Linked DNA regions of Caenorhabditis elegans. The protein of the gene in region 4 interacts with the protein of the main gene of each other region in a pairwise test. Each region holds a gene or a part of one and is shown on either strand. Other genes may lie near its edges.

Region 1 (7,325 bases), on a different chromosome or scaffold from region 4:
CAGGTATAGAATATTTCTTTTTTATATATGATTCCATTTGCAATGTCTGTTAATCATTTTAGTTTTCCCCAAGATTTTAAAGATTTGCCTGATGTGAGCTCATATTTCTTCCTGTAGAATTGATAGTTCCACTGCTGAAAGTGTTCAATTCCTTTTTTAAACAGTTACAATGTGCTTTTCAAGAGATTCAAAATTAAAAAGGAGCTACAACGCTACAAATCTCTCAGTAAAGTTATAAGGATTTTGAATTGTGACTTTGAGATTGTGTTTTATTGTTAGAGGCTTGAGAAAATCAATTTTTAGTGCAAACATGTAATAGTGTGGAAATAATAATGTTCTCTGAGCAGATTGAGTCCAACATAAAGGTTTGCCTTGTCATTTAATCAAAACAAAGGGGAAAATTTTAACTTTATTGAAATTCGTTTTGATCTCAATCTGTGTTTTTTCTCGCTAATCATTACAATGGAATAAACTTATGTTGAAATTATATTTCTTGAAATTTTTCAGCTGTAATGTTAAAATACAATTTTTTAAACATATTGTAAATCAATGCCGTGGAGCACGAAATAAACTGAAGCTAACAATGAAATTCTGAAAGCAATGTATCTCGGAGCTTCCTACTGGTGCTAAATAGTTTTTGAGGAATCGGGTGAAGTCTTGTACTATTAGACTCTCTAATTAAATTTTGGAGTCAGACGACATATATCAACGTTTATTTATTCACATTTGTTGGATCTGAAGACATCAGTTCCTTCTCTATTTTATTTCTGAAATATAGTGTAATCACCTTTCATCATGGTTAATATACATCTTGAATTCAGTAAGAAAAAACTGGAATATTTGAATGTTTTGTTATTCGAAACACTGATAAAATATCAACCCGGTTATCTTTTTGCATAGCACCACAAATCATTACAACTTTAAACCTAAATGATTCTTGTGATTCTTCTTTTTATTTCTCACTCATGAGATAACCTGTTCCATTTTTCGTTTTATTTTTCCAACGCCTCCCTCTTAACAATCTTATCAATATATCAATTGAACATGCGGAAGATGTGATAAAAGTGATGATAAGGTTGAATTGTTCTTTAGTTGGGGATTGAACTTTCAACTAAATCTAGATTATTATTTTTGGCAATTTTGCTGAATCGAGTTGAACTAACTATAATCTGAAGATAATTGGAATTTAAAGAGAAGCTAGATTTGAGCTTTTTGGGGTTCTGTGAGATTAGAAGGATGATCTTACCAGAACAAATATGAAGTGTCACTTAAAATGGTCCGAATATAATTTTTTAAAAATAAATTCATCAAAAATATTTCAGGGATCCAATTGTCTATGAAGCAATCGATAATCTTGCTAAACTCTCAGCTCATTGCCTTCAGCTTCGTACTCCTTTGACAACTTGTGAGAAGCTTATCAACTCCGATTCAACTTTATATCTCTCTTGGAAATATGATGAGTAAGTTAATATTCTTATTCATATACTTCAGTTTTTCACAATATTACTCAATCATTATCGAATGAATAATACGGAATACTGTCAGACATATATTTTCTCGTCGCGATGATACTGTGGTCATCGTATGGAGTACTGTAGAATTATGAAGAGATATTGGGTATTTTATTATTATCTAGACGTCAAAAAATACGAATTTTCGCCCTATCTTACGTGCATGGGACTGCCATGCTGACAACGAGCTACTGTAATCCCACTATCATTTACTATATATAAATCGCTTATTCCGTTTGCCCATAGTTTGTAGTCTATGTAGTCTTTGTAGTCTGCGAAGTTTTAGCTTCTGGAGGGATGGTGAGTTGGGGTTAGTGTAAGGATATAGTCGGGGTACTGTAGTGGTACAATAGTGGTACGGTAGGAGTACTGTATGATTACGGTAGTTTCAGAAAAATTTGTTTTCAGCTCCAGAAGTCGGGGGCCGCGCCGAAGGTGCGGTCCACGGCTGGTTGTATCATATTCTTTTTTAAAATCTTGGCAGCACTTTTCATTTTGAAATTTTAATGCAATCATAATAAATAGACACGAATTACAGTCCCTCGTTCTCAGCGTGGCGAGACCCATGAGCGTAAGATATGATAAAAATTATAATTTTTAGACGTCCACGTAATAATCCTTATAATAATACTACCTACCATTAGATCCATTGATCGACCTAGTAATGTAATATTTGATACATAATAGGCGCCTTTTATCGAAACGCTGTATTAATATTTTTTGGAAATTGGAAATTTTGATTTTTCAGAGAAGAGAAGGTTAGTCGACTCATGGGATTCGCGAAAGTAGGAAGAAAGAAGTTATTCCTTTATGACTCTCAAATGCAGACTTATGAGGGAGAGGTGAATTGAATTATCATTTCATTCGACCTCTTACTTTTCAGATTCTGTGTCTTCTGGACTTTTATGTTCACTTCTCATGTCAACGCCAAGGAGTTGGACAACAAATTCTAGATTACATGTTCTCTCAGGAACACACTGAACCTTATCAATTGGCTCTTGATAATCCATCAGTCACTCTTCTTGGTTTTATGTCACAAAAGTACGGACTTATCAAGCCTGTATGGCAGAATACCAATTTCGTTGTTTTCGAGGAGCTCTTCCTAGCTTTGTCGGCTGAAAATGGAATCGGTAATTTTAGTAGAATAGTATTTTGACCACAAAAATTCTAACTTCACTGAAATTAAACTATTGGACGTTTCAGAAAAACCTCCACCAGATGGTTGGCGTCGTCCAATGACTCCACGTCGATTGGGAACTGGAATGACTGATACCCGTTGGCTTCAACACGCTGTTAGTGGTCATCAGAGCAAGGGAAATGCAATGGCTGCTCCGGTGGATGCTGACATGACACCACAAGGTGCTTTGAGCAATAGAGCTCATCAGGCCAAGGCAAGAAAAGCTCACATTCTGTCGAGCAAGCCATTGTGGTGATTCGGATGTGGACATTGAAGTTATTTTCAGCTTTTAATTACTTTATGCAATTTTGTGCCATCTGTTTAATCTCGCTCTCATGCTTTTTTTGGAATTCGAAATTTATTAAACTTAGCGTTCTTTCCGATAAATAAAAATGAACATCCACCACACTTACATGTTTTTATAAAATATTATTCATCAACACCCTCAAATAAATTAAACTGTTGCGATGAAGTGGACCAGCCATCGATTGCTCTCCGACTAGTTCACAGTGGTGGTTTCGGAGAGTTTGACCAAAAAAGACGGCCAAATATCACATAAATTAGGACAGGGCTCGGGCCGATTTGAAGTTGGGGGGACGGAGAGAGAGAGAGAGATGGGTACCAATAACACACAGAAAATAGAAGCTCCCAGTGCCATCAAACAATCAAATTCTATTTAACAAAATTAAAACGGCTGCGTGGATTATTGTGGCTGTTGGTTAAGAATATTTTAATGGGGGAAAGGGATTTACACATTTTGGAGGAGAAGGGAATTTGGACATGTAAGTTGTGCAATTAGGTCTTGGAAAGCTGGTTGGATAGCCAGTCAAGTCCTTCGTAGAGTCCATGTCCTTGAGTTGCACATGTAGCTTGGATGTACCACTGAAAATTTTTCATTTACATTATAAATTTGGAAACAATTTTATTTATTCCGTGAGTGGACAATCTTTTATTCGATCAGATTAATACGCTTGTCCGGTTTCAAATTTTGATCGTCTATGCAGATAAGACTAAACAGAGAACGGAATCTCGAATACCACTCACCTGTCTTGAGCGGAGATTGTGAAGTCCAAGCTTGTCGGTCAATTCGGCGGCGGTCATAGCATTTGGAAGATCCTGCTTGTTGGCGAAAACGAGAAGAGTAGCGTCACGAAGTTCGTCCTCGTTCAGCATCTTATGTAGCTCTTCACGTGATTCTTCAATACGCTCCTTGTCGTTCGAGTCAACCTTAATTTTTAAAATATTTTAGATTTATAAATCGATTCGAATACTTACGACGAAGATAAGTCCTTGTGTGTTTTGGAAATAGTGCCTCCAGAGTGGACGGATCTTGTCCTGACCTCCGACATCCCACACAGTGAAGGAAATGTTCTTGTATTCAACAGTTTCAACATTGAATCCTGTAATATCAGATTATTAATTTTTACGAATTATGAAATACTGAAAAACACACATATTATAGAACTTGCGACTCTTTTGCAATAACCATTGATTCGAAAAATGCAAATATTTTCCTGAAATACTTACCGATAGTTGGGATCGTGGTGACGATCTCTCCAAGCTTGAGTTTGTAGAGGATCGTAGTTTTTCCGGCAGCATCGAGTCCGACCATCAATATACGAACCTTAAAATTAACACATTAAAACTGTGAGATTAAGCATTACAAAAACATACCTGTCTCTTGCCAAAAAGGCGATTGAAGAGGGAGGAGATTGTTAAACCCATAATGGAGCTGATTCAACACCTGAAATTATATAATTTAAAACAAATTTCCAGTTAGAATTTAAAAAAAACGATAGTAAAAGAAAAATACATAACACTCCAAAGCATGTGACACGTTCATTCAAAAAACAATTATTTTGTTCGTCTTTATAGCCATTTTAAAGCTTTTTTACAAGAAATATATCCATTTCAAACATTAAATATTTTGAAAATTTATTAATAATGATGAAAATCCAGAAAATTTGGTAAAAATCGGCAATAGCAACGTCGATTTGCTGGATGTCGTCCAGCCAGCCACACACGTGTAATTTCGATTAGTCGATCGTGGCGAGACCCGTCAGCCAGAAAACGCGCCCTCCCTTGAAGAATGCATTTATTTCTCGATGAGATCTCTCGATTTGGCCGCTTATTCGTCGCACAAAAGCCTGTTTTGTACAATTTTAAGTGACTGGATGTATTTTAGATAATATTACTTTAAAAACAAAACATTCCTGTACAAAATAATATCTGAAAGACAAGAAAATATAGTGTAAATCTTTAAATTAAAAAAAAAACATTTATTAAAGAGAAAAAAGAGAACAGAAAATGAGTATATTTTCTTAAAGCCAATCTGACATTCGCTCCACCAAGTGTTTTAGCTGCATTGCGTCCTGAATACTTCCTTTCACTTTTAAGTTTCCGTTCATATATACAGTGACTGGAGATACTTCCTTTGTTAGAATTTTTCCAAATACTTCCAAACTCGTTTCAAAAACCACGTCAGGATTTAAGGAAGTTCCTTTATACGCACTTCCAGATCCATGTTTCAAATCAATGCAAATGGGCTCAATATCTTTGCAATTAATTTGGAAAACTCTGCCAATTAGACGGACTAAGTGTTCATCCATAGCTAGGCTTGCCACAGATATAAGATGGTCGATATCAATGGAAGGAATATTTGGTGTATCTGTAGAAGTTCCCGCAGCTGAAGTTGAGGGAACATCCGACAAATCAACTAATGGTGCATTTTCTTTTGCTTTCTCTTCAGCTGCACATTCCTTTGCAAAGTCTTCGAATACTGGTCCAATAACTTGCCACAACTGTTGACCAGCATCGGATTTCGCAACGCTGCTCAACGCAGACATCCCCATGTTCTCTCCTTCCTTCACAATTTTCACATCGGAAATTTCCACGTCAGTGATTTCAACTCCGAATTGACACGTAAATGATCCCAGCTCATCCTTCAAATTAGCAGAAATTATTCTTCGATCTTGTGAGCTGGTTACATCACAGATCCGTTTCTTGCTGATATATCTGTATAGCATTGTATTTGCCAATGTTCGAACTGATGCATTTCTATCTTGAACTCCACAAACAGCTGCAATTGGATCTCTAATTTTTAGAAAAACAGTTGCCCCGAGTTCCACGAGACCACGATCTGTGGTTATTATCTGTAAATTAAAATTTTTTTTTAGACAAAATATTGTCAAGGCTAACCTGGAGTGGTGGGACATTGAACGCAGTAATAGACATTGTTACTTTATGTGTTGTATCTATACATGGAATAACTAAAGTTATACCAGGTCCTCTTGTCTTCTGAGCTCTTCCCAGGCGTAAAACTACCAATTTCTCACTGGTAGAGATGAACTGAAAAATTAAGCAAATTTTGAGAAACGGTTCTCTAGAAAATTATAATTACTACCTTTAACGCGAAAAGCAATGATAAGGGCATTGTCATCACAACAAACAAAAATGAAACACAGAAGATCAACAGTTCAATGGCGCTCAGGGGTTTTATCTGAAAAAAAACATGTTTAAGATATCATAAGTATATTTTAATTAAATTGTCTCGTGTGTGTTTCAATTAGTTTAGATATTTCCATTTTTGTTAAGGTTTCTATTTTGCCAAAATCTGCAAAAAATGTATGCTTTTTAAGAAATTTAGAGTACTGTTGCTTGTTCAAATGCCTACAATGCTCAGATGGAAAAAAATCATAGTAATTGTAGAACATTTTTTGGCGAATTTCAACAACCGAGTAATTTCAACTTTTTTATTTACTGAAAATAAAAATATTTCAAAAAAACCAATTCAAAGTTTTACTATCAAATAATTTCCTAAATGGCTCAATTTCACATTAAGTTTTGATAAAGAAAACCAAAATTTAATTTATTAAATAAAAACTCACATCGTCTTCCATATTAACACCATAATCTCTTGTGTATGTGAAGTTTCCGTATTTATTTCCCAGCATCATTCCTTGCCTGAAAAATTATTGAATAGTGATTCTTATTGTTCATATGCATGTTGTAAAACACTTTTATGAAAATTAAGTTAATCGCTAAATTATAATTCTTAAAATATTTAATAAAACTTTAATTCCATTTTAACTGAAAGATAACATTGGAAAATTTTAATTTTTCATCTATATCAAAGTTAATTAGTTTTTTTGTTGAAAAATTACCTTGCTGGACCCATATATCCCATTTTATCGAGATCGTTGTAAGGAGCATATGTAAAAACGGAATCATATGAACCTTCAGGCATTCCATATTCCATTACACTTTGACTTGGATCACCAAAATCGACTGCAGAATATCCTTCAAGACTGTTCATTTCTAATTCTTCTGGTGCCTCTGGATCGTTTTGCGCCAGCGCCGAATATTTGTACGAAGAAGAGAACGTCATATTGAATGGAGCAAGAGAAAGATGAAGTAGTTGTGTGAGAAAGAGACGAAGAGCTCTAACACTGAGCATCTGCTTTAGTCGTTTCGAATGTCTGCGTCTCTGGCGTCCGGGACCACACATCGATTCTTTGGCTCCGTGAGCACAAATGCATTTATTTTTGCATTTGAGAGGACGGATGACATTGGATAGAAGAGTGTCCCAAAAGACTCATACACAGATAATGGTAGGGTGTCTGTCACACATTACAAAC
Region 2 (7,279 bases), on a different chromosome or scaffold from region 4:
AGCTGATCTTTTCATGTGTTTTTTCTTGGAAAAGGTTTTGATTTTTAAATGATGAAAGGTTTTCAGAACATTTTTCACAACTCCAGTGATCAAAAACAAAAGTTCTGTCAAACGGGTTATTATCAGTTAATACCTGCTGGTCAGTCAATTTGGTCGAAACACACCAGATTGTCTCTATTGCGGTTTATACAATCATGTCATCCGATTTTCAACTACCTGGTTTTTATACTTCCATTTCTGTGCAAGAACGTTATTTTGTTTGGTTGCGGGTGAGTTAAAGATGTTCTTGTGGGAAAGGAACCCGATTTTTCCTTTTTCATAATTTGGTGGCCAATAATAATATTAATCACTTTTTTTCCAGCGATATATGGAAATAACATCAGTTCTTAACGTATTTCTGACTGCTTTGACCCTTTATTTAGTAAGAGTTGAAGGGAAAACCTTAAAGCGGGATTACAAGCAAGTTCTTGTTTGCAACCTTATGCTTCCGGTTGTCTTCAGTGTTTATATGGGTTTTGTCTACCAACCGTACATCGTGTTCCCATATCACTTACTTCTCACCGTGGGATTTTTCCGATTTGGGCCGTTCGTCACTGCTCATCTGTTTAATATTTGTTGTACTTTGGCAATCCTGTGTTCGATGAGTTTCCTCTATTCGTTTTGGTTTAACTACTTCACGATTTGCTATAGAATATCACGTCAAAGCTCAACAAAAACAAATTTGATTGGAGTTTGCATTGGTGTTGTATTTACAATAGTAAATTTTGTACTAATGACTATTGGAGTCGATGAACATCAATACGAAGATCGAGATAACTTGTACAAAACTGATAACAGAATTAAGTACTTTTTCAATGAATATTCCATTGCAATTGTAAGAGTCAGTGATAAATGGTCTTTAAAGGTATTGTTCTTCCTTTGAAATTTCAGCGAGCTTTCACATTTTCAGGCATTAAGTGTCGAAGCATTTATTGGAATTTCAATAGTAGTTATCATAATCCCATTGATAACATTCAAATCATATACAACATTGAGCAAAATACACAAAATGATTTCTAAGCAAACACTGATCCAGCTCAAAAACGCTTTGGCAATTAGTCTCTGGTACTTGCTGCAGTTTGGTGTTTTAGTTGGAATTCCAGCTGCAACAGCAATGGCATTATTATTGATGCAATACACACCTTTCGAAGGGTATGAACCATAAACTAAAAAAAGATGATTCAACACGCATGACTAAAACTAAAAAGTTGCAATTAAAAATTAGGGATCTATAGCAACTGTGAATTATTTTCCAAGCTTTCCGGTGAAGCCAAGTACTACAAAAGTAATATGAAAAACACGGAGTATTCTATGTTCTCATCTTCTGAAAAAAATATATGTCAATTAAAGTTAAAAGTATAGTTTGAGAAAAATAATTACAAAGAAAACAAAAATACTTGAAACAAAGGTATTACAAGAAAAATGTAGCCTGCATTTCAACATAATTTTTTTTTCAGTTTTCCATTTGCAATGGTAGTGTTAGCTCCAACTCAACTCACATGTCCAGTTATCTGTATCCTATACTTAATACTTATCAAACCGCTTCGTTATGGTTTTTTTAAACTAGTGGGTCTTCATAAGTATGTTCCAAGAAACCAACCAAAAGCAGTAACGCAAACACGTAAGATTTTTTGGACTAGTGGTTCGGTTGAATCTATATGTTCCAGAATTATCAACGTTCACATCTCACGTTCCATCAAGACCGACAAATAGAGTACCGTATGGTTCTCTAAAACTTTATTAATGTAAACGTTTTAAAGTTATAACGTTTCACTTTAATTCTGAAGTCTATGTAGCAATATAATTATGCTATTAATTGAAAAATTGTTATTCTTCACAAAAATAAAATCACAGAATTTTTAAATAATTAAACCACATGAAATTCAAAGAAGACGGAAGTAAGTTTACATGCACATTTTCTAATGTTTTGTATATGAATTTGCGACCGCACACTTAGTGACTTTTGTCTGTAATTAATCAGTTTAAAGTTTCAAAACTTTTTAAAACTTACTCCACACTCAGAGTTTGCACTTGTCTCTGCCATTTCAGTGAAAGAAAATTGAAATGACTTCTGTAAGTCATGAGCATCCGTCTCTCTTGTCTTTAGTTCTTTTTCCTTCTCTTCTAACATATTTTCGAGGATTTTCGTTTTGTGATAACCACCGTTTGCCATATCAAGAGCTGACATTGTTTTTCCTATAATGCTATCTTCATCCAAATTTCGAATTTCACATAACAGAGCAAGAGTCCGACGTTTGTCGATACTGGGTGGTGAAGAATCAACAATTTCAAACATTTCTTCACGGCGAGTGTAGATTTGAGCAGATTCTAAAAAATGCGAATTAGTTTCAAAATAGATTTGACAATTTTAATATCAGTCAGAAATATATTCTTCATTTATAAACTCACGTTTTAGAGCATAAACAAGGTCCGTTTTGGAACTTCCTCTGCATAAAATATGATCAAGAGACTTTACTCTCTCAATAGTCAATTCACACTCTGCTCGCAACGCTGTCCATTTTTTGGCTTCCCTCTTATCGTACGAAAAATTGTTTTTGAAATCAGAATTCTTATTAACTATTTTTGAGACACTCATTCGTGTATCTTCCATCAGTGAAGGTTTATTATCACTCTTTTGTTGGCCCTGAGTAAGCCGAGGGACTGATGAGTTTTCAAGGAGTGCAGGAAGATTATTCATGATCGCCTGAAAATATTCTTACGGTTCCTTGTTTTCAATCAATTGATCAACTAGGTAGTTTTGTTGAAAAACCGTTGCCAACATCTACTGAAGCCAGCGGGGGATTACTCACACCCAGGAAACAAAATAAATTGTATTTTTTATGAACTTATGTTAGTAGAAAACCGATACTACCGGAAAGACATCTATTTTGAAGGATGAGATTAGTTACAACGGGACACTTTCATAATCGGAAGGGTTGGTTTAACTGAAAGCAAATTTGCAAACAAATAAACATTATGACAACTAATAATTGAAAACAGAAAATGAAGCCCATTGTTGAAAATGAGATTGTTGAAATAAATTATTCATGAAGCTAGAAATTCAAAAATGAAAATTTTCGTTTTTTTTACTGGGAGATTATATCAACAGAAATTGAAAATTGAGTGGGGAAACGGTGGAAAATAGTATATAGAAAATGAATATTTCCATCTTGAGAATTTATAGCTCTGTCCTCCCGGCTCCCTATATTTAATGTGAAAAATGATTGTTTTTAGGAGATTGTTCCATTTTTCTGTAAATGTAATATAAAATTGACACATGGAGAATACCGTATATTATTGAAAAATCTGGGTGAATTTCCTGAAACTTTCTTATTTGTTTTCTGACGGAACGGAATTGATGAAATTATTTGATTCCTTTAGTTGATCATAATATCAATAAGCGCCTTGAAGTTAAAAGAATCTTAGTGAAAAGAGTCTGTCTGTTTTTGAAAAGCAACTCCATTATAAGTATAAACAGATGCGCTTTTATTGTTTGGCTTAGGAATGTACTTTTAAGTAGTTTCAAAAATTAAACGCCGGGTATTTGAGAAACGATTAGCGTTTCATTAACTTTTCCGTTTGTGTTCAAAACTAATTGGTTTTCTTTGAAAGCTCAAATTAACATTTATTTTTCTTCATAATGTATTGTTTAAACTGATAAAGTTTAATGTTGAATGTACGACATAGTATTTCCGTGAAGGCATCCAACTCGACGGAACCTGTGTTTCTTATCATTGGTCAAATCTTTTCCTTCCCATTTGCCTTTAGTTCCATATTTGGCTAAGTAGTCAACGTTGATACCTCCTGTCAACGCTACTGTTCCAGGAACATTAAATGGTAGAATTTCTTTCTTCGAGTCCACCAAAATCCATGTGTATGCTCCTGGAGTTGGATTTCTGGGGCATGAAATGACGGCGTAATGGGTGTTATCATATGTGTAGTATCTAAATTTGAATGTATAATTCTTCTTGCAACTTGGATTTGCTCACCTAACACGGGCTTCAACAATTTTTTCACCACGAAGATCTTTCAATTTTTTGACTTCTGATTGTTTAAACTTTTAAAATGAGAATACAGTTGAGAACTCACCATAGTTGCGTGGTGGATACGATCCCCCATTTTCTGAGTCAGGATATGGTCCTGGGGGGAACGGAGCTGGATATTCTTGTGGAATTGGAACTAGTCGTGAAGCTGGCGGAAGCGGCCAACTATTAGGGAAATTTGGAACTGGGTATGATGCTGGTGGAAGTGGTCCTAGATCCGGCACCGAGTACGTTGGTTTCTTTGTTGGTCTTGGGTAGTCTTCAACTTCAACTTCACCTGAGTAGGACTTCTCGTTCTGTAATCATTAATATAAATATACTTTAAATTGCAATAGTATGTCACAATCTGGTATTCTGCAGAAGCCACAGCAGCAAGTAATACAAGCGAAACAAAATATTTCATCTTGGCAGAGCACCGATGTATGGCTCTCCTCTGTTGAGGACCGTTTTATATTTGGTCTAGATTTCGCATGAATCATATGTTTAGAAAACGTATGATGTGATGTGATCCATATTCCAGATTAAACTTTGTCGACGATTCAACAAAATCGTCTATAAAATCAAGTAGAGGTGACGCACAATTCAGCGAAATTGTTCACTATGTATGCTCTCTTTTTATCTGTGATCGCATGTGCGGTCGTCGTATCTGCGAACCAATACAATGATTATGGTACAATTTCTCACTATCCTGGACATCATTCAAACAATCGATACTCTACTTCTGACTCATCGGATTCTTCTGAGAATGAATTAAAATCAAGATCGAACTCAGATGAGCGTTACCCAGAATATCCAGGTGTATATGCGCCACAACCACCTGCAACGAACTACGGTACCAATGGAAACGAGTATAGACCACCAAACAATGTATATGAACAAAATGAGTATGAACAATGCAAGGAAATCAAACACTTTTCTGTTCATAAGCACAGAACCGCTCGTGCTGACATCAAGTGAGTTATCACAAAAAATACCATAAGTTAGCTTTTTTTCGAATATTTTTGCAAAATGAAACTAACTGATCAACGTTGGAAAAAGTTTTAGAGAAAATAAGACGTTTTAAACATAAAACCCGACAAAATAGAAACATTCACATATTTCGTTCTCAATACTCGTTATAGAAAAAATATACATATTGCATTTACTTTTTCGTTCAATTGTTTCGTGATGTGAGAGCAAAACTAAAGTTTTCGCAAAGTTTGTATAATTAATTATATCACGGGCTAATTTTGTTCTGTTTCATTTTGACTATAAATTATTTTCCAATGGTTCAAAAAGTTGTTTTTTTACAGAACAGTAGAGCGTAAGGGGAAGACCTACAACATTATCGCCTGTCCAAACAGTGGAAAACCATATGCCCTTGTAGCAAAAAAGGAAGGAACAGACGCATCTTTCAAGTTTGAGACAGAATTCGTCATTCAAGACACTATTCTCCTTGCATCGGGATATAATTTCGACTACGTTGCGAAATGCGACGACAAAAAGTGAGCCGTATTAAGTCAACTTGTTGTTTTTATATTCAAAGTCTAAATTTCAGTTTTGTTGGAAAATCATTCAACGACAGAGAAGTAGCAATCCGAAAAGTCACATGCGTTGAACTTCCCGGACCAAGACCATTGACAGGATTTTAATGATTCTGTTTATTTAAATGTTTTACGAGTTTTTGGTTGATAAAGTTTAAAGTCAAATTTGTTACAGAATGTGAAACAAAAAAAAAGTTCAAATTTGGATAATTATGTAAAGAAAATACTTTAACTAAATTTCAATGAGACAATGAAATTCATTCTATGATCATCCAAATATGGAAGAAAAGTAGTGCGATAATTCTTTTCGCATTCGTTAGATTAAAAAGGGTTTTACTTGTACTTTATTGAATGTAAGACAGTTTTTTTTTTCATCCGCTCCTTTAGAACAATTTACTGAATGCACTCTAAAAGTCCTATTGTTTTTTTCACGAGGAAGTGAACTCATCAAATTTGCAAATGTTAGTTTTCCGCAGTTTTTCCATGGAACCAAGTTATGATATTTCTGTTGACTGGACTCCTCTCATAATTGAGGTACCGTTGTACTACATATAAAAGATTTGTTGGCAAATATCAAAAAGCCAACAAATTGCGTGAAATGAGTAGCTTGGTGTGTGTGCAACATAGTGCGAAGAGGTGGTTGTTTGCAAGCGGTCGACACGTTCGGAGGTCCGCGCCTCACTATAAATGCGGCGTGGGTGACGCCGTGAGGCCGTCGCGGCGACCGCATGGGAGCCCTAGTTTATAGAAAAATTTGTAGGACGCGCTTAAGTTTTTAGTTTAAATGAGAAATTTAGAAACTTATAATAAAAAATTATGAATCAACAAACTGCCTAAAATGTATGGCAGTTGCGGTTTTATCGTCAATTTGTCAATTTTCTGGGAATTTTCAGTTTCGGTCATTTAAAATTTTCTTTGCCGCCCACTACTCGAACACATTTTCCTAACAATACAAAAAAAGCTGGAAAAGACAAATATGTTGAATTGTTTATTTTGCTTAACTTAGCTGTCTTTGGTGTTGATTTTTCAATCAAACTCTTTTCGGTGAAATTATCTCACATTCATTCTACACAGGCTCTCGTTGAAGAATTCATTTATTTTTAATGATAAAATAGTATAAAAACTCAATTAAACAGTCAATGATGTTTCAAAAGTACCATGATGACATCCAACACGACGGAACTTTTGCTTGTCACTGTTTGTCATATCGCGGCCGGACCATTTTCCGTGGCGAGAGTATTTAGCAACATATCTCACATTGAGTCCGGCGGCAAGAGCAACAGTTCCATCAATACCAAATGATGGAATTTTTTCATCAGAGTCGGCAAGGATCCATGTGTATTTCTTGTTGTCTGATTGTCGTGGGCAGCTAATTTCTGCATAATAATCTCCTCTATGCTTGTAGTATCTGCAATAGTTATTTAATGAACTGCATATGTTTAGTGATCTACCTGATTCTGGCATCAACGACATTGGTTTTGTGCAAGTCTTTCAGCTTACGGAAATCTTTAAAAAGATACTTATAAAATGCAACTAGCGCACACATTTCAACCAACCTCTTCTGTGTTCCCGAGAATCACTATCCTCATCAGAGTAGATTGGGTAACCACCACCACCGTAAGATGGGCCTGGAGCAGGGTATGATGGGTCAGAGGCGGCCTGAAAACTTATAAT
Region 3 (7,732 bases), on a different chromosome or scaffold from region 4:
TAACAAAACATGTTTCCAGGCTGAAACCGACATTACTCAAATTTTCCCGAATCTGGACATCCTTCCAAAAAAGTTTTCCGCAAAAGAGTTGGCAGAAAGACGCATCAAAAAGCTCCACGTGGCTCCTGGATCAATTTTCATGAATCGTTGGTCCATAGAAGGTGTGATTGGAAATGGAGGTTATGGACAGATATTTATGGTGATGGATGTTAAAAAGAATGATGAAAGAGCAATGAAAATAGAACCAAAACTACGAGCAGAAGTGATTACGAAGCGGATGATAATGGAGCAACAAGTTTTGATGAAAATGCAAGGGAAAACTCATATTCCAACAATGTATGCATCTGGATTCAATGATCAATTCAATTTTATTATAATGCAGTTGCTTAGTATGAATGTTGGAGACTTTCGGAAACGAAGTCCATTGGGAAGATTGAGTAAAGAGACAGTTGGAAGAATTGCTTATCAGACATTGAATGCATTGAAAGATATTCATGATATGGGATATGTTCATAGAGATGTTAAACCAGCAAATATTTGTTTTGGTGTACATGCTCAGGTGAGTTAGGTGCCTTCAACGCGACATCAGTGCCTGTCTGTACTTTTACAGTGCACAGATAGGCATGAGACCGGCGTAGATCGCCTTGCAGGCAGGCAGGCCTTGGTGTGCCTGCACAGTAGTTTGCTTTTAGTCTATATCTAGAGTTCGAATGAAAGTTCAATTCCTAATTTTTCCCTCAAACTTTTCTTATTTGCTCTTCGAACTTTTCAGTTCGAAAAATTAATAGAATTTAGAGTTTAACAGAGGGAAAATTTTGAAAAGATTATACCAGAAACTCACCTTATTTTTGCCAGCAGCCGCCCTAGAGAGACAATTCGATAGAAAATGAGAGGCTTCAGCTGTAAACAGGCACTATACCTATTTCTATACCTACACCCCGCCTCCTAATCCTCCTAATTAAGAGTTGGTACGCCGTTGCACCAGCTGTAGTGCACCTGTCGAGGCCTTAGAAGCCGCGTATAATATCTAGAGGTTGTGATTATTAATGGATTTGCACCGAACTGAGAAGATTTGTTATTTGCTTCATGGAAAAGCTTAAGGCTGTGGCAGAGCCGGCTCAAATTGGTTTGTCTCTTCAGAACGTTACATACAAAAAAAATCAGCGAAAAAACAGTTCAGTTGTCATACTTTTTCACAAAAGCGTGCGGCCTGCTTGCAAAAATTTAGCGCCAGGATAAAAAACACCGACGCAATGCGTTTAACCACATCCAGAAAAGTAATTTCAGAATCGTCACATCCTCTATCTTCTTGATTTCGGACTCGTCCGACGCTTCAAAACCGAATCCGGTGTATGCATTCCATGGAGAATAAATGCCGGATTCAAAGGAACAGAACGTTATGTATCGGTTCGTGTACACGAGAAGCTGGAGCAGACACCATGGGATGATGCATTCTCAGTCTTGTATACGGCATATGAGCTAGTCGTTGGAGAGCTCCCGTGGAGATATTTGGAGGATATTCATGAGATTCATGGGGTCAAAAAGTTGATGGTATGTGGTGCAAATCGTACAATTTTTATTTCAAAAGTCTTCATGAAAATTGTTTCTTACGGTAGCTGCAAATAAGAGTGTACGCCTTCAAGGAATACAGTACACTTTTTTTCAATTGTCGCATTTTTATTCACTTTTCCAAAAAGAAAATGATTTTTGAATTAAAAATTAAACTACTGTACTCTTTAAAGGCGCATGCATCCTTCCACAATCATCGTTAACAAATTTTTCGGTCGTTTCAAGACCCGGTACCGTATTCTTGTGTCATAAATCACAAAATTTTCCGATTTCAGAACGAGGTTACCAAGAATGGAGAGATGTTCAAGGACATTGCGAGCATCCTAGTCGACTTTCATAAGATGATTTTGGAATGTGACCCCGTTGTTGAACTACCGTATGAAAAACTGCTGGAATGTCTGAAATGTTTATACAGCCCGAAATCACTGCTCGAACCGTATGATTGGGAGGATGGATACAAGACGACATTGAATATTTGAACTCTGAATGAATTATGAATGAAGTGAAATCACAATTTTTCATTTTTAATGATAAAAAGTTTCAAACATCTTTTCAGTCAAGATAAGCGATTCATAGAAATTGGTACAAGTGCTTTCGATCAATTACACGAGATCGTAACAGAAACAAAGTGAATGTGAGAAATGGGGTGAGGTTGAAAAACATGAAAGGAAGGAAAACATGAGGTTAGAAATAGAAATTTGGAAATATTTTCTTTAGAAGTCAGCCTCAAGATCGAACTGTCTCTCGGCTTCATTCACCATCACTCCAGGACGTTGATACTCGGAAACCCGCTTCTCGAAGAAGTTAGTCTTTCCGTCGATCGAGATATTCTCCATGAAGTCGAATGGATTCTTCGACTTGTAAAGCTTGTCACAACCGAGCTCGACGAGCAAATGATCGGCGACAAACTCGATGTACTGTGACATAAGACGACAGTTCATGCCAATCATGTCAACTGGAAGTGCCTCAGTCAGGAATTCTTGTTCGATGGCCACAGCGTCCTTGATGATATCGTAGATGCGTTGTTGAGTGAGTTTCTTTTGAAGCTTTGAGTAGAGAAGACAGGCGAAATCACGATGAAGTCCTTCGTCTCTGCAAAAATTATCAAATTACATTAAAATTATTTAAATCTCGTAATAATAATAATTACCTCGAGATGAGCTCATTGGAATGTGTCAATCCTGGCATCAATCCACGCTTCTTCAGCCAGAAGATCGAAGCGAATGATCCACTGAAGAAGATTCCCTCAACAGCTGCGAAAGCAATGAGTCTTTCAGCGAACGAAGCCTTCTTGTCCGAAATCCAGCGAAGAGCCCAGTCAGCCTTCTTCTTGATGAACTCGAACTCATCAACGGCGTTGAAAAGAGTGTTTCGTTCCGTCTCATCACGAATATAAGTCTCAATCAGCTTCGAGTACATCTCTGAATGAATGTTCTCAATGGCAATCTGGAATCCGTAGAAAAACCGTGCTTCTGAGACTTGAACTTCGTTCGAGAATCGTTCGCACTGAAAATTTAATCGTTAATTTGAATCATTATTGAGATATCAAATAAAACATACCAAGTTCTCATTGACAATTCCGTCCGATGCGGCAAAGAAGGCAAGGATCCGAGAAATGAAGTATTGCTCGTCACCATTCATCTTCTCCCAATCGTTCATATCCTTTCCAAGATCGACTTCTTCGACTGTCCAGAATGATGCAACTGCCTTTTTGTAGAAGTTCCAGATGTCATGATGTTTCAGTGGGAAGATGACGAATCGATTATCCAAATCTTGAAGCATCGGCTCGTCGGCATCCAGCTCATTCACCTCCGACTCATTATTTGTTTCCTCAGCTGAAGCAGCCTTGGTCTGATCGACAATCTCCAATTTCTCCAGTTCTTTCTCCAACTTCAGCTTGTTCGATGAGTGTTTCGGCTGTAAATTCGAAGGCATACGTAATGAGTATACTGGAAAAGTCGTAGAATTGTGCACATTTTGTGCAAAAGCACCAGATTTCGCGCCTCTTCGCGGACTTTACACTAAATACTTACCACTGATGCTCCTGCGTTCTCCTTCTCGACATTCTGAATCTCGGTGAGGGTCATTTTAGTAGATATACGCGGATAGTGCTTGCGATCCTGAAAAGTTTAAAATAAAATGAAAATAGTGTGCAAATGAAGAAAACAATTGATAGAGAAGAGGAAACATTAAAAATGGCCAGCTGAACACTATTCAGGTCACACAAGTCACCACCTAGGACCGGCGACTGTGACAGACTGAGACAAGGAATGACCAGCACCAAAGGTTTTAACGAAGGCGGAGCTTTTGACGTCATGGTGAACTATGGGTGAAGGGCGGGAAATGCTGACGTCACAGACGGTCCTGTGTTCAGTTTTGCACGGAAAATCGTATGCCGGCAGGAGGTCAATTGTGACGTAGGCATGGTCAATGATGGGAGCAGATGATGCAAATAAATGGGTGAGAAATTAGAATAGGGCTCTTGCACTGAATTTTGAATGAATTCCTTATCAAAAATATATTGTTTTTGCGAGGCTTACTGATAAAAAAGTGACCAATGGAGTGACCGAACGATTTTTTTTTGTTGGAAAAACATTCAATTTATATATTGAAAAAGAATCTATAAATGTGTTGAAAAGCCGGAAAGCAGCTATTCAATTTCAAAAACCTAAAGTTATTTAATTAAAAATGGTGATTGAAAAGATTTAACAAGAAAAAGACAAATGAGTGCACTTCCAGTGCACACAAGACGAAGCGAATGAGAAATGAAATGAGTGAATGAACGAAATCAGCGGGCGCAATAGAGGTTTCGCGCCAATTGTTCGAATTCAAATTTTGGCGCGCGTTTTGAAAGAAATGACGGAGACACAGAGAAAATTTACAGGTCTGATGAATATTGTCCGACTGATAAAGATTTAGTGTCTGGCGGAAAAACGGTAAAGAATATAACCTCCTAACTATAGTTTCGCAACAAAATATTTTGTATTTTCTCGAAAAACTTATTTTTGACGGGAACGAAGCCTATTGAAATACTGGAAAACTATCTTTAGGTTTTGGGCCATAAATTTGGATGAATATCGTGATGAGACCAACCAATTATGGCGGAAATTCAAATTCTACAATATTTTGGTGGTTGCCTAGTAGCTTTAGATCCACGTTTTATTGAAAAATGTACGGAGAGTTTCCATTGGAAACCAGCAAACCAGACAAAAAAGCTTCTCCATTTTTACTTTACATCAAATTATGGCGTCAGATCGTCGATTTTCTGTAACTCTGTCCGAGGATGATCTACGTCCGCATTTAAGGAAGCCAAGTAGGTTTAGAGTCTGAGAAATATTGTCATAGGTGCCTGAAAATTCTCCCAGAACCACTCAAGCCACCTAAACCACAACAATCAAGTGAAATTGAAGAACTGATTAGAAGAAATGAGAAGCGGGAAGAGGCGAAGAAAGAGGTAAAACGTCGTATTGAAGAAGAGGAAAAAGCGAAGGAACAGAGGAAGAGAGATGAAGAAATTCGTAGAGAAACTCATGAATTGTTGGTTATTAGGGAATTGAGCAATAATCGGAATGATATAGAAATGCCTGTAATCTCTTCAATTAAGTGAAACAATAATATGACACAAATATTTTTAGAGCATTCCAAAGCTTGGCCGGCGTGTGAACAATTTTCAGTATTTTAAATGGGATTCTGATGAAGAAATTCCAATTATTCCAGAAGAAAGAAGACCCGCTTCGGTTAGCAGGTGAGAAATTGAATTGTTAAATAAAAGAAAAATCATGAAAATTTTGAAATTGACAATTTTGTGCATTCTACCGTCGCGGTGTATGCGTACTTGACACTATATATGACGCGCAAGTTGCAAGTCAACGAAATTTCGATTTTTTTTAACGTCTCAAAATTTCAAAAAATTACAATTTTTCAACAATCTATTTCACCCTCAGATTGCCACCAGCGACAAGGGCATCCACTCTTTGTGAGCTATGCACATTGGCTTCACGATTGCTTGATAAATCCAGTGCTCCGACAAGAAGTGCAGCGTGTGCACACGTAGATGCTTTTGTGGGCACTTCATCGTCTTCTCATTATCACAATTTTTAATGTTTCAAGAAAATTGTTATTAAGCACCAGACGAACACAAAATAAAGAGATACATAGAGAAAATGAGGAGCAAAGAGAAAGGGGATTGAAACCCGTAAAAATACATTTTTGGTGAAGTTGATTGGGTGTGGAACGTGAGTACAAGTGAGATCGAGATTTCGAAACTTCGTGAAAAATCTAATATTACACGTGGAAAATTGAGAAGAAAGGGTGTGGCTCAGAGTATCAAGAGCTGTCGGATTCTGCATCACTCGAAGGAGCCAAACTGCTTTGCGAGGAACGCTCCTGATGAATTTGATCGCTGATCTGCTCTAAAGCTCGCATCGAATCACTGTAGCTGTCTTTTCGTTCTTGTACCTGGAAATTAAAAATTATTTTAATCTATATACAGTTTTATTCTTATTAGTTCTTACTTCATGCTCCAAAATTGACATTAACTCAAGTTGAGAATTCATTGTTCGCGTCAGAACTTCTTTTCGTTCGTAATAGGGCCGGGATTTTTTGATGGCAGATCTGAAATTCGGAAAATATATTGTCAGAAAATTGCCTGATGCCTGAAACTCACCCATTTTCCTCTAAACATTTCCTTAAAGCCATTTCCAACTGTAACAAATCCCTGACACGTGATGCATGACACTTTTCAGCTTTTAAACATTCTCCCTCAGCTTCTTTAACCAATTCCAACTGTTGCTCAATCACATCAACATATTGTTTCTCTGCATCCAATTCTTGATTGTTATTCAATGAATTATGCAGTATTTGCACTTGTTCTCTTGCCATTTCAACTGAAGTTTTTTGTCGTTCAAATTGAGCTGCCGCTTGTTGAACACATCTTCTGATTTCCGATTCGCGGCTTTTCAAATCGAAAAATTGACGGGATTTTGATATGTGTTTGGCCAACTTTTTAGGGATTCCAAGCATTTCTTTGTTGAACATTAGTTGGGTTTCACTGAAAATATATAAGATTATTTTAGCATCAAAACCAGATTTGGTACGATTTTTTGCGAATTAATTGGTTAAGAATGACTAGTGCAATAAAAGGTTTCCAGTTTTAGACGTGTAGCGATTAAGCAATTATTTTAAAATAAAAAATGAATTAAAACTCACCAAAACTGTTTCTTGACAGTTTCCAACTTCATCTCATAACTGTTGATGTCATCTGTTGCATTATTTAAATTTTCAAGTTGTTTGCGAATCGATATTAATTGATCGTCCCCTTCCGTCATTTTTAATGTTTTATTGATTCTGAAATCGAATTGTTCGAACGAAAATTACTAGAAATGAAGAGAATATGAGGAGAAAAGATGAGAAAATAAATTTTTTAAAATTAAATTTGCAAATTTTAACGTGAGGCAAAACTGTGCATTTTTACGTGATGGTGTTTGCAGATCGTAATTTGAAATTAATGGCGGGAGTTTTTCAGAAATTATCAATTCGACTTACAAAAATGGCTAAAATGAATGAAATTTGGACAATTTTCTCAATTTTAGTTGTTCAGGGTTAATAGCAAAAATCAGCTGCAAAAATGGCCCTCGACATGACATTTTTGTTGAAAACAAATGGGTGTGCGCCTTTAAAGAGTACTGTAATTTCAGTATTCATTGATTTTTCATAGTTTTTGGTTGAAAATAAATTTACTTATTAAATAATATTACTTTATTAATAATTAAGATAATAAAATTCAAAATTATTCGATTTAATAAATTGTGAGATCAACTATGAAAAATCAATTAAAATCTGATCAGAGAGCAACGAAAGCTTTAAATTACAGTATCCTTTAAAGGCGCACCCCCGTTTGTAAATCTCAGAAATTGCCTTTTCGCGGCCAGGTACCGTATTTTCAGGGCAAAAATCTCAAAATTTTGCGTCTGGGTAATATTCGAACCTCATAATTTTTTGAGAATTTCGAACTTGAAACCATTCTAGAACAAAGAAAACGAGGAAACGGAGAGTAGAACTATTTCAGATACGGTTTTCATCGGTTTTTTGGGTTTGAAGGCCGTGCAAACGACAAGCGGGGGTAGGAAAAGTGTGGGGGACGACGGAGAAGAGAGAAACAGAG
Region 4 (7,517 bases):
AAGAAAGCGTAATTCGAAAAATTAAATTTCTATATTTGTAACATTTTCTTCCTGAATTTGAATATGATTCTCAAAAAAGCCCCTTGTTGATTGCCAATTTTAATTTAATTTTTTTCTTCGAATAAACTATTTTAAATTTAAAAAAAAGTGAGTTTGCACATTTTTTGGAACCAGCTTTTGCTGAAAAAAAATGTGTCCCACGATTTTGAACGTCGCTCACTGTATCAATTTTCGAAATTCTTTTCTCTCTACATGAAACAATACTACGTCCATTTCAAGCTCTCAAAATCTAACAGCACAGTTTCAAATTCAAAAACACGAAATGATTGAGAAATAGAGATGCTCTTTTCAGATGGATTACTTTAATTCAATCTCTGCAGCTTTACTTAAACAACGCAGGTAGGAGGCAGATACTGTCGATCAGAGCGGAGCATTGAGCTTCACGTAGCCTGGCTGTCAAATTGTTTCAGTTGTCCATCCATGCACCATGTCTCCTCCGCCGTCGACACAGTAGGGTTTCCAGTCACTTCCAGCTACTTGTTCCAATCCACATCCTGACGTTAATTTCCAATCGATTCAGTTGTACTTCCTGAAATAAACACCAATATGACATTATTTGTAAATGTATTGAGGCAAGCCATCTACAAGCTTATGAGTTTAACAACAAACTTACAAAATAGCTCCCACTTTGGAGTTGTCTTCTTTTTCCTCTGTCTCCTCTATTTATCCTTTGAACGTTTCGTCTTGAGTAGTTTGTCCGGGGGGTTTTTGTGACATATGCCAGTATGAGTATCTGAAAAAAAAGGTTCATACTCTCAATACTCAAAAAGCTGTAAACTTTATGTTTTATAACATTTTAAAACATCAGATTTACACCTCTGACCCGCACTCACTTTAATATTCCGTTTGGTTGAAGTGAACTGGTTTCCAATTCACACACGACTGTAGGTAAATCGGCTCCATCGTCCGAGGTCCACTCGGAGGTTCCTTGCATACTCATATCTTCGTTCACAGCATCGGAATTGTTGAATTGGCATCATCTTCCCATCCTTCTTGGCAGACCATTTGTTGAAAAGTTGAAGACTGAACACTATGACTAAAACTACTTGCTCATATACCAGTCCTTATCAAGATGTACGTGGTCGTTCAAATAAAAATATTTTTTTAAATTGTTTTCCGTATACCGTATATCCTCTATTAGTAAGACGTGCAAAACTAATTTTCGGACACCTAATTTGATGCAAAACTAATAGAGGGTGCAAAACTAATTTTCAAACAGGTTTTTTCTCATGTTTCCCATTAAGTTATAGCAAATATCATCAATTTCAGTAACACCTTATGAACCAAAATGGACTAATTAATTCCACTAAATTCTTGTATTGAATATAAAACTTGTGAATCTCATTGCCTTTTGAAAATTTGATTTGAAACTTGTTAATTTTTTAATCTAAATATTCCTGATTCTGTCATAAATGGTCGTGTTATTTCGTTCTCTAGACCCCTGTGACATCAATTATTTGAAAATCTAGTTTTGACTATAGTTTTTAATTGCAAAACGACTTTCGAAGCGAAATTTAACAAATTTCATTTTACCCCCAAGGTATACGGTAGACAAGTACGCAAACACCAACAACAATATTGCACACATTACACAGAAGTTGCCGACAGTTTGCTAAATCAATGGGATTTTTTTACAGCAGTTTTTCCTTTCTTCACGATAAATCGTTCTGAAAAAGTAATTAAAATTGTTATTTTAGTGTAAAATTTAAAAATTAAATTATTGTTTTCAAAATGCGCGATTTTAAATATTGCAATCTTCATTACGTAGGATTTTTCCGCACTTGAATTCTCCAAATGTTCTCGAAATTTATTGAAAAGCTTTAGAAGCCATGAAGTTTCTGGAAAGCTCCGAAATGGATGTTTTTTCGCAGACACTCGTTACGGGAGCAATCGATTGTGTTATTGATTTCAAGTGAGTCATTTATCTCAATATTAAGAATAAAACAAATCGTTCAATTTCAGATTAGAAACGTATTCGTCGAAAATGGTTACTAGCGAAAAGAAACAATGGAAATCGAACGATAAATCTGTGATATGGGGTGAACGCCAGCCTCTAGGATCTTACGAGGAAATGGTGATGAGTGCATCGCCCAGTGTTGGTCACAATCATCGGCTTCGCCATTTATCGGAACGCTCGTGCTCAGGAGGATCAGACAACGATTTCGACGTGAATGACTACCTGATAAAAGACTCAATTTCGCGAAAGAAATTGTATGATCTGACTCAAGTTCTGAACTGTTCGTTTCCGGATCACGATTTCAGTAATGCCAACAGTGAAGCGTTTGCTCTCGTCAATTATTCGGTTAGTAGCTTCTTACAGCTAAATAACATTAACGCGCATGATTTTTCAGGACCTGAGCCGTCTCGTTGATATGAAGCTTGAGACAATTGTCAGAGACTATCACGTGAGAAGAGAAGAGCTATGGGGAATTATTGATGAGGCAATTGTGCCCGGTGACTGTCAAATATACAGGTATTCCGTTTGATTTGAGAGGATATTTTATATAATTTCCATATTTTTCAGCTTCAAGTCCCAATTCGAAGACGATCCGTTTACCGAAGACGGTTGCATTTGGGCACTTGCCTTCATTTTCTACAACAAAGGACTCAAACGTTTTGTTCTTCTCACAATTCGTTGCCTATCGAAACAAGCCGACACGTCCATCGAAATTTTCCCCGATTTCAGTGAAGACGAGGCGGAACCACAAGAGAAATAGAGTGCAGATTATTCATGTAGAACGCTTAGAATAGACTAATATTCAAGGCGATATAGTATTAGTCTTGCCGGCCAAGCCTCTTTCCCTCTTGTAGTTCTTCTCTTGTAAATAGATTCCATTTCTCATCAATCCTCAACCTCCTCCTTCACCTCTCGAGTTCGCATTTAATTTGCCACTTCCCACACACCTACCGCTAGATTAAAGGAACAAATACTTCGATTCTCATTCCTTTTCGTGGCTCGTAGATATCAATTTTCACAAAAACCGCATCATAAATACATAAAATTGTTTTTTTTAAGTTAATCAAAATCGATTATTTTTTGGTTTCAACCGTTCTGATATTTTAATCAATTTTTCCTCAAATTTATTTGGTTAAGTTCAGTTTAATTTATTTTCAGTGAAATAATGCCGAGCACATCAATGATCGAAGATCGTTCTGAGATCGAACGTCGGCGATTCGAATATCTCGATCATCCGGCAGATATTCAACTTCACTCTTGGGGATCCACAATGGAAGAAGCCTTCGAAGCATGCCTCGTATCAATGTTCGGCTATATGACGGATTTGGCCAAGGTTGATGAGGTAATTTGAAATTGAATTAGATCGCCTCTTGCGCCTTTTAAGAATTTTTCCACTTTCCTCTGTTTTGTCTAATTTTTCTTACTTCACTTGAAATATGCTTATGAACATATGAAATTGCAATTTAAATCGATATCTTGTAGAAATTTTAGCTTTTGTTCGTGTATTCTCTAGTTTTGAAGCTGCTCCCAGAAAAAAGCTCAATTTTTGCCTTCTTGACTTCATTTTCGAACAAAACCCACAATTTCTACAAGAAACTGATTAAAATAAAATTTTAATTTTGCATTATTTCAGATGTACGAATTCTACTGGAAAGCTTCTGGCGATAGCTTAGATGGTCTCCTATTTCAGTTTCTAGACGAAGCGCTCAACTCATTCCACGCTGAACCATGCTTTGTCGCGAAACGGGTTGAAATATTGCGATTTGATAAGAAAAAGTTTGAGGTATTTGATAAAAAGTTTCTGAAAATTAATCTAAATTCTATTCAGATCGAATTCCGAGGATGGGGAGAATCATTTGATACTTCAAAGCATGAAACAGAGGCTGATATCAAGTCTCCAACTTATTCAAACATGCAAATCAACGAGAAGCCGGAGAGATGCGATATCTATGTCATTGTTGACATTTGATTTTTATTTTACAACTTCTTTTTCACCTTTTCTCGCTTAATTCCTTTGTGATTTGCTTCCGATTATCGTGTCTTTTCCCTTCTGGTTGCTCATAAAATTTGTTAATTTTGCAGGTAAAAAATGGGCATTGACGTCAAGAAGAAGGTGCTCAAGCGAAAGCTGAAACAGATGAAGGATGGACATGAGAAGAAAAAGGCTAAGGAGGTTGTAGTTGAAGAACCAATGGAGGAAGAAGATGAGGAGGAAGTGGAAGAGGAGCAAAAGCATCAAACGGAGGAGTCAAGTGAAACCAAAGTGTCTGAGTTCTTGACGAAGACTACATTTGCATCGCTTGAAGGAAAAGTTAACGCGAATTTGCTGAAAGCCGTACAAGGATTGGGATTCACTACAATGACAGAAATTCAGGCAAAGAGTATTGATCCGTTGTTGGAGGTAGACTTTATAACTTTTTTCTTTTTTTAATAAGTTTCAATTTCTCAGGGAAAAGACGTATTGGCATCAGCAAAAACTGGTTCTGGAAAGACGCTTGCCTTCCTGCTCCCTGCTATCGAACTTCTTCACAAACTCAACTGGAAACAACACAATGGAACTGGTGTCATCATTGTGTCTCCAACTCGTGAATTGTCGATGCAAACTTATGGAGTTTTGTCCGAACTTCTTGAAGGATCCAATTTGACGTATGGATTAGTGATGGGTGGTTCGAATAGAAGTGCAGAGAAGGATAAGCTTGCGAAGGGAGTTTCGATTTTGGTGGCCACTCCTGGACGACTTTTGGATCATCTTCAGAATACTGACAACTTTTTAGTCCGCAACATGAAGTGTTTGATTATTGATGAAGCTGATAGAATTTTGGATATCGGATTCGAGATAGAAATGCAACAAGTTCTCCGTCATCTTCCAAAACAACGGCAGTCAATGCTCTTCTCGGCAACTCACTCTCCAAAAGTTGATGAGCTCGTGAAATTGGCTCTTCACTCGAATCCAGTTCGCGTTTCTGTACACGAAAAGGCCGAAGAGGCAACAGTTGAAGGATTACAGCAGGGTTATATTGTTGCTCCATCTGATAAGCGTCTACTTCTTTTGTTCACATTCTTGAAGAAGAACAAGACGAAAAAAGTGATGGTATTCTTCTCATCGTGCAATTCAGTCAAATTCCATCATGAGCTTCTCAACTACATTGACATTCCGTGCATGTCTATTCATGTAAGGATTTTAAACGATTATTTTATGAACACTTTTATCAAAGATCGCAAAATGAATCTTTTGAGACGGCTTCACATATCCTTAAAATTGTTAATGGCGGTTCGAAATTTCAAAAATAAAGCCTATTTTAGCTAAAATCTGAAATTCCGACAACTTGACAAAGTCACAACTCGCGGAAATGTTTTTTATTTAATTGTCACAGTTTAGTGCATAATTTGGTAATTTATTGCACGTTGTTTCGTTCATTGGAGTAATTTTTAGTCGATGGGGGCAAACAAAGACCGGAAATGAACGAAAAACGAGTAATATACTATCAAAGTTGGCAATAAAGGGTGATAATTGAATAAAAACAGGTGCTGTGGAGAAATTGAGATTTTTGCTTAAAATGATTTTTTTAAACAGAAATTTTGAACCGCTATAAAAAGTTTAATGGAGATTTGAAGACGTCTAATAGAGAAATATCTTAAATTTCCCTCAACTAGTAATATAATTAATTTTTGCAGGGAAAACAAAAGCAACAGAAAAGAACAACGACATTCTTCCAATTCTGTCAAGCTGAAACAGGCATCCTTTTGTGTACAGACGTGGCAGCTCGTGGACTCGACATTCCAGCAGTTGATTGGATTGTACAATATGATCCAACTGATGAGCCAAGAGAATATATTCATCGTGTCGGACGTACAGCACGTGGAACAAATGGAAGTGGAAAGGCTCTTCTCGTTTTGAGACCTGAAGAACTTGGATTCTTGCGTTATTTGAAGGCCGCTAAAGTCACGTTGAACGAATTCGAATTCTCATGGAGCAAGGTATGCACTTTCAATAGGCGACGTGTTCTTTGAATCAAAAGTTTTTTTTTAATAAAAAACCGGTAAATGATCCTTTGATAAGAAGGTCACACACCCAAGTGCAAGTGAAATAAGATCCAAAGATTAAAACTTTAGGTATACAGGAAGTGAATGAAATCATTAAAAAGCAGAATTCAAAGATGAATGATCAATAAAAAATTTATTTCCGGAAGTGAATTTGCAAAATTTGAAAATAACACTTGAACTTCTCAATTTTCAGGTTGCAAACATTCAATCCCAACTCGAGAATCTCATCAGCAAAAACTACTACCTGAACAAATCAGCGAAGGAGGCATACAAGTGCTACTTGAGAGCGTATGATTCTCATTCATTGAAGGTAATTCACAAAGTGCAAATGATGACATATGAGACTAATTGTCATGGAGTTTCAAGATGTCCGGCTACGAAATACTTGAAAGTATACACACTTCCTACGTAAAATCCCTTTTTTTGCAGGACATCTTCGATGTGACCAACATGGACTTGACTGCAGTGTCGAAATCATTCGGATTCTCTGTTCCACCGTTTGTTGATCTTCCGATCAGCAATAAGCCAAAGGTATAACTGAAGGAAGTGGAAAGAAAACAAAGAATTACCAATAGGAAATTTTACAAAATGCAAATTGTTTTTTGATTGATCGAAAAGTTTGGAACTTGTACAAAAAATGCCAGAAATTTTTCAGTTTTGGAAAATAAATTTTTGTAGCGGTTTTTCAAATATATTTCTGATCAATCCAATATTTTACACTAACTTTCAATAAAAAAATATTGGAACGGCCTGCAGAATTTCCTAGCCTCATTTTTCTTACAAATCCTTATTCCAGGTTGAGATCCGTTCAAAACTATCCGGAGCTGGCTACCGCAAGAAGAAGCAGTCATTCACATTCAAGGCGAAGAAGTGATGTGTGTTCCGCCTCCAATTATTGTTATATCATTGTTTTCTTTTTCTTTTACTGTTGTCTTTTATTGTTATTCCTACAACCACTTCTCCATCCAACTTTATGTCCCAACAATTATTTGTTCTTTTTCTTGCTGTTATTCCCTCATAAACTGTTTCAGAACCGTGTGTGCTTTTCGTTTCGCTTCAGTAGAAGATGCAGCAATAGGGAAAAAAGCGAAAGCTTCTCGGTCTCGTTTTCACCTTTCCCCTACACCAACACAAAAAAGTGGAGAGACAAGATATCAGAAATGTGAAGAAGGAGGCGAATGAGATATCATCTAAAATGTCATATGTATATATGAATATATATGTAAAGTTGTTGCGCAACTGTCATTTCAACAACGACTTCTTCTTCTTTTTCAGATGTCACTGGCCTTCCTGTTCCCTCTCTTTTCATGATTTCATGTCATTTGTGGTGACCCCGCCCACATCTCCTCCCACTCCTTCCACTTTTTTGCAATTAGGACGCCTACGGGAACTCACGCTGTATAAAAACAGTTGAATTCGAAAAAAATTACCTGAAAATTTGAAATCTCCGCCCTCT

The links.
Region 1: the proteins of mafr-1 (region 4) and arf-5 interact in a two-hybrid assay, tested with the Caenorhabditis elegans proteins (one large-scale study listed by BioGRID).
Region 2: the proteins of mafr-1 (region 4) and Y62H9A.2 interact in a two-hybrid assay, tested with the Caenorhabditis elegans proteins (one large-scale study listed by BioGRID).
Region 3: the proteins of mafr-1 (region 4) and rnr-2 interact in a two-hybrid assay, tested with the Caenorhabditis elegans proteins (one large-scale study listed by BioGRID).

What each region holds. Positions count from the first base shown.
Region 1 is NC_003282.8:7,979,633-7,986,957, reverse strand, and holds arf-5 (ADP-ribosylation factor), read right to left. Parts: upstream 4,433-7,325; 5' UTR 4,414-4,432; coding exon 4,363-4,413; intron 4,313-4,362; coding exon 4,216-4,312; intron 4,089-4,215; coding exon 3,964-4,088; intron 3,916-3,963; coding exon 3,733-3,915; intron 3,571-3,732; coding exon 3,484-3,570; 3' UTR 3,106-3,483; downstream 1-3,105. Other genes in the region: mec-17 (Alpha-tubulin N-acetyltransferase 1), read left to right, coding at 1,323-1,460, 2,260-2,353, 2,395-2,641, 2,715-2,944; unc-24 (Band 7 domain-containing protein), read right to left, coding at 5,010-5,630, 5,676-5,840, 5,887-6,036, 6,092-6,187, 6,576-6,651, 6,852-7,075.
Region 2 is NC_003284.9:11,875,460-11,882,738, forward strand, and holds Y62H9A.2 (uncharacterized protein), read right to left. Parts: upstream 2,751-7,279; 5' UTR 2,738-2,750; coding exon 2,449-2,737; intron 2,368-2,448; coding exon 2,051-2,367; intron 2,007-2,050; coding exon 1,959-2,006; 3' UTR 1,852-1,958; downstream 1-1,851. Other genes in the region: Y62H9A.1 (uncharacterized protein), read left to right, coding at 195-269, 362-904, 950-1,191, 1,497-1,660, 1,707-1,783; Y62H9A.3 (putative secreted effector protein), read right to left, coding at 3,704-3,983, 4,029-4,083, 4,129-4,378, 4,426-4,485; Y62H9A.4 (DUF4362 domain-containing protein), read left to right, coding at 4,683-5,035, 5,375-5,566, 5,620-5,713; stha-3 (Conserved secreted protein), read right to left, coding at 6,734-7,013, 7,057-7,111, 7,162-7,264.
Region 3 is NC_003281.10:4,091,233-4,098,964, forward strand, and holds rnr-2 (Ribonucleoside-diphosphate reductase small chain), read right to left. Parts: upstream 3,690-7,732; 5' UTR 3,657-3,689; coding exon 3,603-3,656; intron 3,487-3,602; coding exon 3,130-3,486; intron 3,076-3,129; coding exon 2,720-3,075; intron 2,662-2,719; coding exon 2,283-2,661; 3' UTR 2,076-2,282; downstream 1-2,075. Other genes in the region: Putative casein kinase I C03C10.2, read left to right, coding at 20-559, 1,288-1,551, 1,845-2,048; C03C10.7 (uncharacterized protein), read left to right, coding at 4,813-4,882, 4,935-5,155, 5,205-5,314, 5,514-5,670; Guanine nucleotide exchange factor rei-1, read right to left, coding at 5,896-6,027, 6,084-6,183, 6,236-6,619, 6,778-6,896.
Region 4 is NC_003279.8:10,621,289-10,628,805, forward strand, and holds mafr-1 (Repressor of RNA polymerase III transcription MAF1), read left to right. Parts: upstream 1-1,884; 5' UTR 1,885-1,889; coding exon 1,890-1,972; intron 1,973-2,022; coding exon 2,023-2,362; intron 2,363-2,411; coding exon 2,412-2,533; intron 2,534-2,584; coding exon 2,585-2,777; 3' UTR 2,778-3,073; downstream 3,074-7,517. Other genes in the region: Laminin subunit alpha lam-3, read left to right, coding at 1-25; arch-1 (Protein archease-like), read left to right, coding at 3,183-3,359, 3,651-3,800, 3,846-3,986; B0511.6 (ATP-dependent RNA helicase), read left to right, coding at 4,107-4,418, 4,467-5,189, 5,693-5,995, 6,255-6,371, 6,491-6,592, 6,858-6,935.